3 linked regions of the Coturnix japonica genome follow. The protein of the gene in region 3 interacts with the protein of the main gene of each other region in a biochemical or structural test. Links are inferred from orthologs where the notes say so. Each region holds a gene or a part of one and is shown on either strand. Other genes may lie near its edges.

Region 1 (3,647 bases), on a different chromosome or scaffold from region 3:
TTCCTATGACTATCATTATCATGGTGAGGAGTTTGGTAGCATAACCTTAGTACTAAATTTTTTCATTATGAGAAGATGGAATGACTGTCCACAAGGACTTTCAGTCATAATATTTGTATGCAATTGCTAGTTACACAGTCCTTCCTGCACAGTGCCACTCCTTCACCTGTATATCCTACACTATCACTACTATCAAGCCAGCAGCATGGCACAGAGGCTCCCACTGATATACTTTACACAGCAGTTATTTCAGGAAAGCCACCCTTTCCTTTGCTCTGCAGATGTGCTCTCTCTCTTGCCCTAATAGCAACGCACCATCAAAAGTCTCTTCTCTTTGAAGTACATCAATCTGTGATGACTCCCTGTAAAACAGGGGGGCCAACTTCCATTAGAAGAAGAGATGTTTCCTGATCCCACACAGAAAACTTTGATGTCAGACAGTAACTTTGTACTGGGTACTAAAACTAGGTTGGATTGAGCCTTGAGAAGAGCCTGACCTGGTGGGTGGCAACCCTGCCCATGGCAAGGGGCTTGCAATTAGGTGATTTATTAGGTCCCTTCCAAGCCAAGCCATTTGTGATTCTATGATTCTATGAGATCTCCTTGGACTGCAATTGTTTTGTTGGGAAGCTTACGTTGCCTATCCTCTACACTGGCGAAGAGACTTTCAAATAAGGAGGAGATTTTCTTTAGGGGGGAACGAGTGTTCAGTTTGCCAAGTTCCAGTCTTCAGCACTCCTACACTTTATAGACATTATTGTCCTTGTTTCTTGGAGGGATGGTTTCAAGCCCTGCAGGGATGGTCACATTATTGTTGTTAGTGAAAGCCCCTGTTCCCCAAGCCCAAACTGCCGCATTCCCATCCTGCTACAGGGGATAAGCTCTGCTTCTTAGGAGCCCAGCCTGGGCAGGCTCCATTTCCCATGCTCTGTTTGGCCACAAAAAATAACTTCTGGGGCACATCTGGTTGCTGTATTAAGGGATCTGTACTCCGACACAGAGCCCTGAAGAGGTCACTGGCTGCCCTCAACATAGAGCAGCTCTTGTACCACAGAAAAGTATCTGAGTGCACAAATTAATTTCCATTTACAGCAGTGTTGCCAGTGCTATAGTGTGTAAGTGGTAGTCCAAGGTGCCCAAGCTTTCCCCGTAGTGAAATTCCAAGAACACAAATAACTTTATTCAAAATTATGAAGCCTGTGAGGTCCAAAAAAAAAGACATAACCTGCAAGCATATACCACTAGGCCCTTATCTTTCTCACTGGGATGTATTAAAACTTTTTTCATGCACTTGGAAATTTCATATTGTTCTGCTTTTTAGGCTAAATTTTTTCAGTGCGTTTCTGGGATGTGCTGGCAGTTGCAGAGAGGGCATTTCTGTCCCATTGTTAAACAAGTAGCAGAACCAGAGACCTCCCTTTAGGAGTTGGACTTGATTACATTTACAGATCCCTTCAATTTCAGGGTATTCTATAATTCTATGATTTTAAAATACTACTACTTACAGATCATCAGAGAGAAAAAAATCAGGAGTTTAGCAAGTACATTAAAAAGAAAAAAAAAATGTGTATACTATTTAGAGTGTTTTATTGACCGGTTGTTTTGATTTGATTGAAATATAGCCTTGTGGGAGTGAAAATATCACTTTCTATGGAAATAGCCTGTTTTCCACAGGCCATTTTTATTAGGGCTGCTAATTCAGGCTGCCATATAGATGAATGTCTGATGAAAGAAATGAGCACACAAAAGGCTGGAAAAGTAGTGAATGAAGAAAAGACCCCACAAATAGAGACCTAGGAAACTAACTAGAGGAAAGAAGAAATACAGTATGAGGGGGAGGGAGTTAAAAAAGAACCTTGAATGAGAACAGTATTTATAGTGTTTCAGATCAAAACATCATTAATTTATACACATTGAAGTACATCAGTGTGTTCTTGCTATCACTCAGGCATATTGAGTGACGTGCTGTCAACAGCAGATATCGTTCTAGGAAGATTAGGCTGGTTCATATTGGCAAATACAGTTACTTTGACTTTCCATCCTAATTTGAAGCTCAGACTTACTGGTGGATGATGACTTCTTTTACTGATCAGTTTTTGAAGGTTCCATGGGTGGTATCCAGGAACTCATAACCTCCTGCTGCAAAATGGCCAATGTCAAGTTGGCTTATTTTGCTTTGAGAAGGCCGGGGAATTGCCATTAAAATGAATGCATAACATCCACTTCTAAAAGACAGTTCTCTCATAATTTGAGACAAAAACAAAAAACAAACAAAAAACAAATAACAAAAAAAAAAACAACAAACCAGCTGCTGTAATACTGAAACCATTTAGAGCTGGTGTGTTCATTTACAGAGACATCACAGTGATTAGTCATTCAGGAAGCTTTAATTTCCAACGTGTCTTCTCATTTCTGCCATGTGAAACAGTCCTAGCACTGATCTCCCTGAAGAGGCTGCAGCTCTGCACTCACTTTACTTCTTTATACTTTTGCAGAAAGGCAGAGAGCTCCCACTCCAGACAATGAATTTTTCTGAGATGACGCTAAATGACAGCTCCACTAACAGCTCATTCACCTGTAGCACGGATGCCTTCAAGCAAGTCATTTATCCCATTGCGTACCTCTTAATCTTCTTCCTGGGCAGTGTTGGAAATAGCCTCTCCATATATGTTTTCCTCCAGCCTTCCCAGAGGAAGACCTCAGTAAACATCTACATGCAGAACTTGGCAGTTTCGGATCTCATGTTTGTGAGCACTTTGCCCTTCCGGGCCACCTATTATCTGTTAGGATCACAGTGGGTGTTTGGTGATATCCTCTGCAGGATCATGACGTACACCATGTATGTGAACATGTACTGCAGCATTTATTTTCTCACCGTGCTCAGTGTGGTTCGTTTCATGGCCATCGTCTACCCATTCAAGAGCTGGAAAGTAAGTAACATGAAGTATGCCAAGATAATGTGTGCAGTGATATGGGTCTTCGTTCTGGCAGCCTCCAGTCCTCTGCTGAGCAAAGTAATTGCCGGGTACAAAAACCCAGCCAAGTGCTTGGACCTCCACCCCAGCAGCACGCACAGGCTCCTCATGATGAACAGCTTTGTCCTTGCTGTGGGCTTCATCTTGCCTTTTTGCACAATTATCATCTGCTACATCTTTGCCATCAGAGCGCTGCTCAAGTCCAAGACACCCCAGCGCAAGAAGGCAGTCTGTCACAAGAAAGCACTGTCAACCATCATCATCACTCTCATCCTCTTCTTTCTGTGTTTCCTTCCGTACCACGTACTGCGGACAGTCTACCTAGTGCTCGGTGGCTGCAGCCCAGCCAATCTGTTCGTGCACAAAGCACAGGTGGTCTCACTCTGCCTTGCTGCCACCAACAGCTGCCTGGACCCTGTGCTATATTACTTTGCAGCTGAAAATTTCAAAGCAAGAATCAGAAGTTTATACCGAAGGATGCTTGTGTAGAATTGCAGTATTACGTTCCTGCACTCCTGCCAAGACATCTAGACTGCATCCATACTACGTGATGAATGAATGTGCTGCTGACCATACTGCACTGTGCCAGGCATCTTGGGAAGAAAAGTGTTTGGGATAAAGTTCAGTGAGGATGGTCAATACCAAGACAGGAGCTCAGCAGTGCAGGTGATT
Region 2 (3,729 bases), on a different chromosome or scaffold from region 3:
AAAGCAGAAGAAAAAGGACCTGATGGCAGAGTGCATTTCAGGGTGTAAGGGAAAGTTTCCTGCTGACAGTTTGACAATTGGCCTTCAGGAGCTGGAAAATAATTAGCACAAAATTACTGTAGAAAGTCTGCTCCATGCCCCAGCACTCCATCAGAAGGGATTTCCTGCCAGCTGTTTACTTTCAGGTGCTCTGACATTCCCCATTGTGAACACTGGCCACAGTTCTTCCAAACAAAAGCGTTCCTGCAAAAGCCTGTTTGGCTTAGAGATGAACTGCCAAGAGTTTATCTCCCACTGCAGCAGCCCTGAAAGAACCTGCTGTACTCAAGGGTTTGCTGCCTTTTGTTCTGACTTAGCCTCAGTTTAAACATGAAATCTTTTTCTATTTTCTTTCTTTTTTTCTTTTCTGGTTGATTGGTTTGTTTAATTCACTCTTTTTGCCACAGTAGATGTGAAGTTCTTGACAGGGAGAGTAGTGAGGTGCTAGAACAGCTGCCCAGAGAGGCTGTGGATGCCCCATCGATCCCTGGGGGTGTTCAAGGCCAGGTTGGATGGGGCCCTGGGCAGCCTGGGCTGGTATTCAATGTGGAGGTTGGCAGCCCTGCCTGCACTGGGGGCTTGGAGCTTTGTGACCCTTGAGGTCCCTTCCAACCCAGGCCATTCTGTGACTCTATGAAGCATTTTACATAGGCAGGAGATGTATTGCTTCTACCCACGTGTTCTACCCTCGCCATCTGCACATTATAATCCAATTTCAGGGTCATAAGGCAATAAGTCTATGTTGGTTTTAGTCCTGTGTATGTCATCACTGTCAGAGCCCTACGTGACTGCAATAGAAAACCATCCGAAAGTTAACATGGGTGAGACTTGAGATAATGTGGCCTTGAATTCCAGAGGGTGTGTAAACACTTGGCAGATAGAACACAGTGCTTTCCTCGTACTCAAACACGCTTTCCCTTTCAGAAACTCTACGTCTTCCTCTTCCAAGACATCCTGGTTCTGACCCGGCCGGTCACTCGCAATGAGCGTCAGTCCTACCAGGTGTACAGGCAGCCCATCCCTGTGCAGGAGCTGATCCTGGAGGACCTGCAGGACGGCGATGTGAAAATGGGAGGCTCCTTCCGAGGAGCATTTGGCAATTCAGATAAAGGTATAAAGCAACCCAACCCATCTTGTTTGAGGGCAAGAGGGAACGTCCGGGCATGGATCCCTATGGGATCCACCACGGTGCTGTCACTGTTGAGCTCTGCAGTGTTGTATCTGGAAGCTGTAAACTTTTATATGGCGCCTTGCAGTCGGTGCTAAGATTAGAAAAGACTTCAGTGTATCAGTGCTGGGGATTTTTGGAGGGGGGGGGGGGGGAACGTTGGTGAGACGTTGAACGCTTTCCCTGAAGCAAAACAGGGCAGATTGGGTCGCTTGTCTAATAATGGAAATTGAATAGCGAGCTCAAAACTGATCTGCTTTTTCCTATGTTTACCTTCAGCTAAAAATATCTTCCGAGTTCGTTTCCAAGACCCCTCCCCAGGCCAGTCCCACACACTGCAGGCCAACGATATCTTCCACAAGCAGCAATGGGTGAACTGCATCCGAACAGCCATTGCTCCCTTCCAGAGAGCCAGTGCTGCCCCAGAGCTGAAGGAGCTGCCAGAGCTCAGCGAGGAATCGGAGGAAAACAACCCCTCCGTGCCCAACATCAGAGCCCAGAAGAGGCAGTCGGCCATGTCGGGCATCACTGAGATGGATCTTGATGAGAGCATAGCTGAGTGCAGCTCCATCATGGACTCAGAGGAAGCCAAGGGCACGAAAACACACAGAACACTCTCTGGGCACAGGAAAACGAGGGAGAAGCAGCTGAGCAAGAGGAAAGAAACGCTGGTGTAGGGGAGGAGCCCAATGCCATCCTGGCAGGACTGTTTATTTATAAATAACGTGTACATTTTTCTTGTCATGTGAGCACGATTGGATTGGCTCTACTGAACAGAAGCGTCTTTTGGTTTGTTTTCCTTTATGTTGTAATGGCAGCTACTGGTATGCAGTTAACACTGTTGAACTGGAGTCTGTTTTCTCTTTGTATATAACGTGGCTGCTCTGACAGTGTCAGACAACATTTTGACCACCTCACAGCAGAGTTTGGACAAACACCTTTTGGTTTCGGAAAGATTTCCACGTCTGGTGGTTGTGGTTTGTGCCATCACCCAGAGCCTGGCCACAGTCCCTCCTTGAGGTCACATCAGTGCTACAAGCACGTTCCAAAGCTGAAACAACCATTTTCTTCCTGCTTCTTGCAGGAAAACAGACCCCAAGTTCAACAGGTTCTCAACTTACCTACTGGAATTGTTCATTTTTGAGTGTCCATTTGTACATTCCTCATCGTCACTCACGTAACCTGCCACGTATTTAATTGGTTTTTTATTTTTAATTAGTTGTTTTGTTTCGGGTTGGTTTGGGGGTATTTTTTGTTTCGTTTTTCTTTGTTTTTCTTCCTTTTTTTTTTTACTTTTGTATTCTTGTTGGACTTGGCATTTCCTTTCGAGTCCTCAATCCTTCCTGTTCAGAGATGTACAAATCGCTTCTCACGTCACTCACAGAACTGGGTTGTAATGGGGTGTAGGAAGGTTTTAGGCACGTTGCAAAAGGGTTTGGGGAGGGAAGAAGAGCAGATAGAGGGAAATAGAGGGAGCGAGAGTAGCTTTATTGTTGTGTTGTCAAATGAAACGCCTCTCACTGCCCGTGGGAGGCAGGGTTGGAGGCGACCAAGAGGATATTGCATGTGGTAGAGAGCATAGAGAAAAGAAAGCGTAGAGGAAAGCAAGCAGCTGAAGCTGATGAGTTAAGGGCAAAAGAGATGGCGACTGTATATAGCCGCGTAACGGCAGGCATTGCCATGTTCTACAGTGATCCAAAGATTCCCGTGAGATGCCAGCTTGGAACCTGTGCTGCAAAGTGTTGGAGGAAACAAAGCGGTGACAGCTCTGATCAAAGCCAAAACATCGTCTCTATGGCATGGCTGAAGGCGATCCCACAACACCAACCACCACGACACCAACCTGAGGACTCAATGGTGAAGTCCTGCCTGTTGGGTCACGTTGGAAATGGGAAGAGGGTTCACACAGACACAAACCCGCACGGTTCTCTGTAAATGAATGTCTTTGTACAGTTTCAAGTGCCAAGTACAATTAAATTCCTGATGGCCTCCTGCTTGTCTGAGTCGCTGCCTGGGTGGGACGCGATAATGCTGCCGGGGCTATAAGGCTGAGCTCATACAGAGGAGATAAGCTCACAGCTGACACTTCTCCTGTCCCCAGTCTCTCCAAGACATTCCAGGCCCCGAATTCAGAGGAAGGCTGTGCTGTGTCACAACCCTTCCCTTTTTTCCCTGAAATAATGAGCGAATGGTTTATGGCCCTGCACGCGGCCTGACGCCGCCCTACGTGTGCGACGGGTGGGTGCTGTAAAACAGGGCACAGCTCCGTGACTCACTGCAGAGCCTGCAGAGCTTGCTGTACGTTCTGGGGTAGGAGGAAACAGCGGTGATAACTACTCCCTATCCAAGCACTGTGGGGCTGACCGTGTATGGCAGCGTATGGGCACAGCTCCACGCCGACTCCCCTGGGTCTCCCAGGGCTGTGTGCCAGAAGGCAGCGTTTGCAGCACCATTTTTACCCACTGAATGCAAGTTTTGAGCTGGAAGGGGCTCAGCCCTCTGCCTTTAGGAGCATAAATGAT
Region 3 (4,073 bases):
AAAGAAAATATTGCATGTGGACCTGCAAGTCTATAAACCTCAGTTTAACGACAGAACACGTGCACAGCTTATTTGACCTTAGTTTCACATCCCAGTCCCTTGTTGTCCACTAACTGCAAGGTCAGAACACCTATTTTCTCTGTTTGTGCTCATAGATGACTGACTCATTTATAGTAAATTTCCTGTTTTTCCAGCCTTGTAAATGTCATACGAAATAGACCAGGCAGTAAAATGTATACATTACCAGGCCAAGATCACCCTAGTGCTGCAGCACCAGCAGACCAGGCACCACACACTGGGAAGAGGAGGAGATGCGTGCTTACACCCTCATCATCACATTCCTTCACTGCCTGCTCCAGTGCCACACGCCTCCTGTCGCATGACAGCTGCCATCCCCACAATGAGCTTTTTAATCAGCAAAGGAGTAATGTATTTTAATTCAAACACTCTCCTTTCCTACGCGTGGAATCCTGACCCACGAGGGAGCTCCCTGCTCAGTGCAAAGCAGCACACAGATGCCAGGCTTTCATTGAGAAGCACATAGAATGATTTCCAAACCACAAAGAAAGAAAGAAAATGAGTGATAGACAAAACTATATATTTCTATTCTACATTTCATTCTCACAAAGCATTCAAAAAGCAATCATCATCATCACCATAACCAGGCTTGGCTCTCCCCTCTGGGTATGGATGATGCAAGGCTCAAGTGCCTGCCCCGACTCCAGGCACAGCTTTGAACTTTTTTCTCCCCAGCTCCAGGAAATCCCAACCAGCACCCTACAAACTCCTCCCGTTTCAACCATCCTGGAGCCAAGGTGTGTTTACCATCAAATTCTGTCATTTCTGGTATGTTTCAAAGACAAGTTTCTATTTAGACTAATGAATGTTTCCAAAACAACCAAAAGTTTAATCACCAGTCGCTTGCTGGGAAGGACTCGCACACCTTCCTTCACACACCAACCACACTGCAACATCACAGGCTGTATTTTAACACCTACTACAACAACTGGTACACCAAAACCTGCCCTGTTTCCCCATACTTCAGCCTCCTGCTTCCCCCCCATCCTGTCAGGGCAGCCTGCACCGACCACTCTGTTCCCCAGCAGCAGGGAGAGCAGGCGTTAAAGACAGCTGGGTTTGATGGAGTTTGGCACTGTTTGCTGGAATATCTCTACAATGTGAATGTTCCTAGAATCACTAAGGTTGGAAAAGACTTCTAAGATCATCCTGTCCAACCATCCACCCACCACCAACACTGCACGTGTCCCTAAGTACCACATCAGCCCTTAACCACCTCCATGGACTGAGACTCCACTACTTCCCCTGGCAGTCTGTTCCAAATGTTACTGTAACCGCACATTGGTAACCTGTTTCAAATTACCGATGAATGGCTGCGCTTCCATGCAGCTCCACCCACTGCACACCCCCAAACTTCGTGATGCGCCTGGACCACGACAAACTTTCTCCTAACGACTCTCCCTACGGAACCTGCCCTTCCTTCCTCCCTTCCTCACAGCTGTCATCGCAGGTGCCCATCTGTCGTCCCACCCATCCCATAGCAGCAACACGGGCAGTTTCCTGGCGCTGAATTCCAGTCCTGCCCTGGAAACTGCAAGTTGGTTGCCACGCTTTTGACGTTGACCTGTTGTATCACTGCAGCGTCTACATGGATACAAAGTGGATTCTAAAGGTCTCTTGCTGTTCCGGCCCCCGGCCCAGCCACAGAGCTATACCTGTGTGCGCCCTCACCTAAGGGGCAGCAGCCCTACGCTGGCCTTAACCCGGAGACGAGCAGCCCTAAGGGACGAGTGACAGCACTCCCCCTCCCACAAGCGACGGTCCCACACAGGCACGGAGCTCACGCTCACTTCTGGCCAAGTCTCCATCCACCATCGCTGCAGGGAGCGATGCGGGACTGCGGGAGTGGGGAACCCAGCACCCCGTGCCCCAGTACCAGATGCCGGCCCCGCAATCACTTAACACAGACTAGGAACGCGCGAGGAGCCGTAGGGATGCAGGCGCTCGGAGGCACGCTTGCACGTGGCAAAGGTGAGCACCCGCGTGTGTGCAAGCGTGACACGGGCAGCAACCTCGCTCCTCGCTCAGCCTGCGCTGCCCAAAGGGAAAACGTTCACCTTTCCCTTCCCGCACCTTCCCCACGCTCGGACACCCCCCGGCCCCTCGCACCTTGTTTGACGGCTTTCACTACGATGGGCTCCTTGCAGCTCCGGATCACCTCCAGCACGTCGTAACGCGGCAGCCCGGAGACGCGCACCCCCTGCACCTCCAGCAGCAGATCCCCCTCGCACAGCGACTGCTCGCCGCCTCCGGCCGCCACCGCGCCCGCGTAGGGGAACTCGCCGTGCTCCGCGCCGCCCAGCAGGACGAAGCCCAGCTGCCCGCCGGGCCCGCGGCTCAGCGCGCACTGCCGCACCCGGCTGGCCCAGTGGTTCTTCTTCTGGACGACCCGCGACATGGCGCTGCGCGGTTCTCCGCGCCCGCGGCGGCGGGTTAAGCAGGTGCGCAGGGGCTCCGACCCGCTGCCTCATAGACCTCTCCGAGCCGCCCGCTCACAGCCATCACCGCCGACGCCGTGCCCGCATGGCTCCGCGCCCGCGGAAAGGACTTTAAAATAATAATAATAATTAAGGAAAAAAAAATAAATAAAAACTAAAAGAAAAAAAAATGTAAAAAATGTAAAAAGTGCTCAGTAAGCAAAATCCGGCTCGTTCTCGCCCTCCTTCTCTCCGCCGCCGCGGGGCCGCTTTGTTTTCTCTCCTCCACCCTCTGCTCTCTTTCTCTCTCTCTCTGTCTCCGCGGTCGCGGACTCGGCGCCTTTAAGGCGCTACAAAGCCCCGCTTGTTTTGTTTCACTTCGCTCCGTCCCGCTCCGCCGCGCTCCGCACCGCCGGCGCAGGCGCCCTGACACGGCCCGCCCCGGCCCCCGCCCGCCTCCCCGCCCCCGGGCCGGCCCCGCAACCCGGCTCGAGCCGCGCGGGGCTCCGGGCGGGTGGAGGCGGAGCGACCCTCGGGAGAGCCGGGCACGCGGAGGTCCCGAGGGGCGGTGGGTGGGTGCTGAGCTTGGCCGAGGACCGTGCGAGTTGTGCAGGTGCGGAGTGGGAGCCCACCTGTGCCCACCTGTGCCTTCGGTGGGAAGGACTGCACGAGCTTCTCCGCTTGTCTGCTCTGAAGTGCCCGAATTTCTGATGTCAGCGATGTTCTCGCCTTTTGTTTTTCCCACGCAGAACAGATCTGCACTTTCTGGTGGGGAGAAATGGTGCGCATCCATCCAGCCACCTTTAGCCGCAGCTCTTCGAAGTTAACCAGAACTCGTGCAAAAACTCTAGTGGGGACTGTACTCGTGCCTGCACCAGCTGTCCCTCCCCACTCACACTCTGTACCTCCAAACCTGAAAGCCGGGCCACATTCTGAGCAGCCTAATGCATGGCCGATCCCCGTTCAGCAAGGAGTTTGGTTGTCAGATGAGTGCCTGCCCTGTTTCAGTGCTAATCAGAACTCAGAAGTGACACTGAGGAGCAAAGCCTCTTCTTGTTCCCTGCGCTGCCCTCTCGTGTGCCCTCATCTCTCCAGCCATGCATGTACCCAAACGATCTGTGATGCCAACAGGCCGGGGGATGTACGCAACAGCTGTGGCTGCAGCTCAGCTGGGCTTGGTTCCCAGACCCCAAAAGTGGGGTGACAGCAGTTTCCCAGCCCTTCCATCTGTCCCAGGTGAAAGAGAGGATCCCATCCTTCTCTCATACTCAGCATCCCCATCACTGCTTCCCTGCAGCTGAGATCCCTCCCACAGCTTTTTCCTCAAATTCCCATTCACTGCAGGTAATGCTCTGCAGCCACAGAAGCTGTGCTCTCCAGCCTGAGTGGCACAGCCACCTTCAGGCCAGGGAATGGGCATGTTTTGTCCCATTGACAGAGCACAGCAGCACAACAGTCAGCCCTGTGCTCTGCATGCCTCCATGGGAAGCTTATGGGATTGCCAGGGCTCGGAATGCTGGAATGAATAACAGAGCCCCTTCCAAGGAGCACAGCAGAGTCTGCCTCCCTGGGAGCAAA

Evidence for each region.
Region 1: the proteins of MAGI1 (region 3) and CYSLTR2 interact in a test that uses a peptide from one of them, tested with the Homo sapiens proteins (2 studies listed by IntAct, with this or other methods). The link is inferred for Coturnix japonica from reciprocal best matches to the Homo sapiens genes MAGI1 and CYSLTR2.
Region 2: the proteins of MAGI1 (region 3) and NET1 form a complex in vitro, tested with the Homo sapiens proteins (3 studies listed by BioGRID and IntAct, with this or other methods). The link is inferred for Coturnix japonica from reciprocal best matches to the Homo sapiens genes MAGI1 and NET1.

What each region holds. Positions count from the first base shown.
Region 1 is NC_029516.1:151,149,571-151,153,217, forward strand, and holds part of CYSLTR2 (cysteinyl leukotriene receptor 2), read left to right. Parts: intron 1-2,495; 5' UTR 2,496-2,522; coding exon 2,523-3,464; 3' UTR 3,465-3,647. UniProt on the Homo sapiens protein: Receptor for cysteinyl leukotrienes. The response is mediated via a G-protein that activates a phosphatidylinositol-calcium second messenger system.
Region 2 is NC_029516.1:1,134,486-1,138,214, reverse strand, and holds the end of NET1 (neuroepithelial cell-transforming gene 1 protein), read left to right. Parts: intron 1-963; coding exon 964-1,150; intron 1,151-1,486; coding exon 1,487-1,884; 3' UTR 1,885-3,201; downstream 3,202-3,729. UniProt on the Homo sapiens protein: Acts as a guanine nucleotide exchange factor (GEF) for RhoA GTPase. May be involved in activation of the SAPK/JNK pathway Stimulates genotoxic stress-induced RHOB activity in breast cancer cells leading to their cell death.
Region 3 is NC_029527.1:11,736,786-11,740,858, forward strand, and holds the start of MAGI1 (membrane-associated guanylate kinase, WW and PDZ domain-containing protein 1), read right to left. Parts: upstream 2,913-4,073; 5' UTR 2,477-2,912; coding exon 2,188-2,476; intron 1-2,187. UniProt on the Homo sapiens protein: Plays a role in coupling actin fibers to cell junctions in endothelial cells, via its interaction with AMOTL2 and CDH5. May regulate acid-induced ASIC3 currents by modulating its expression at the cell surface.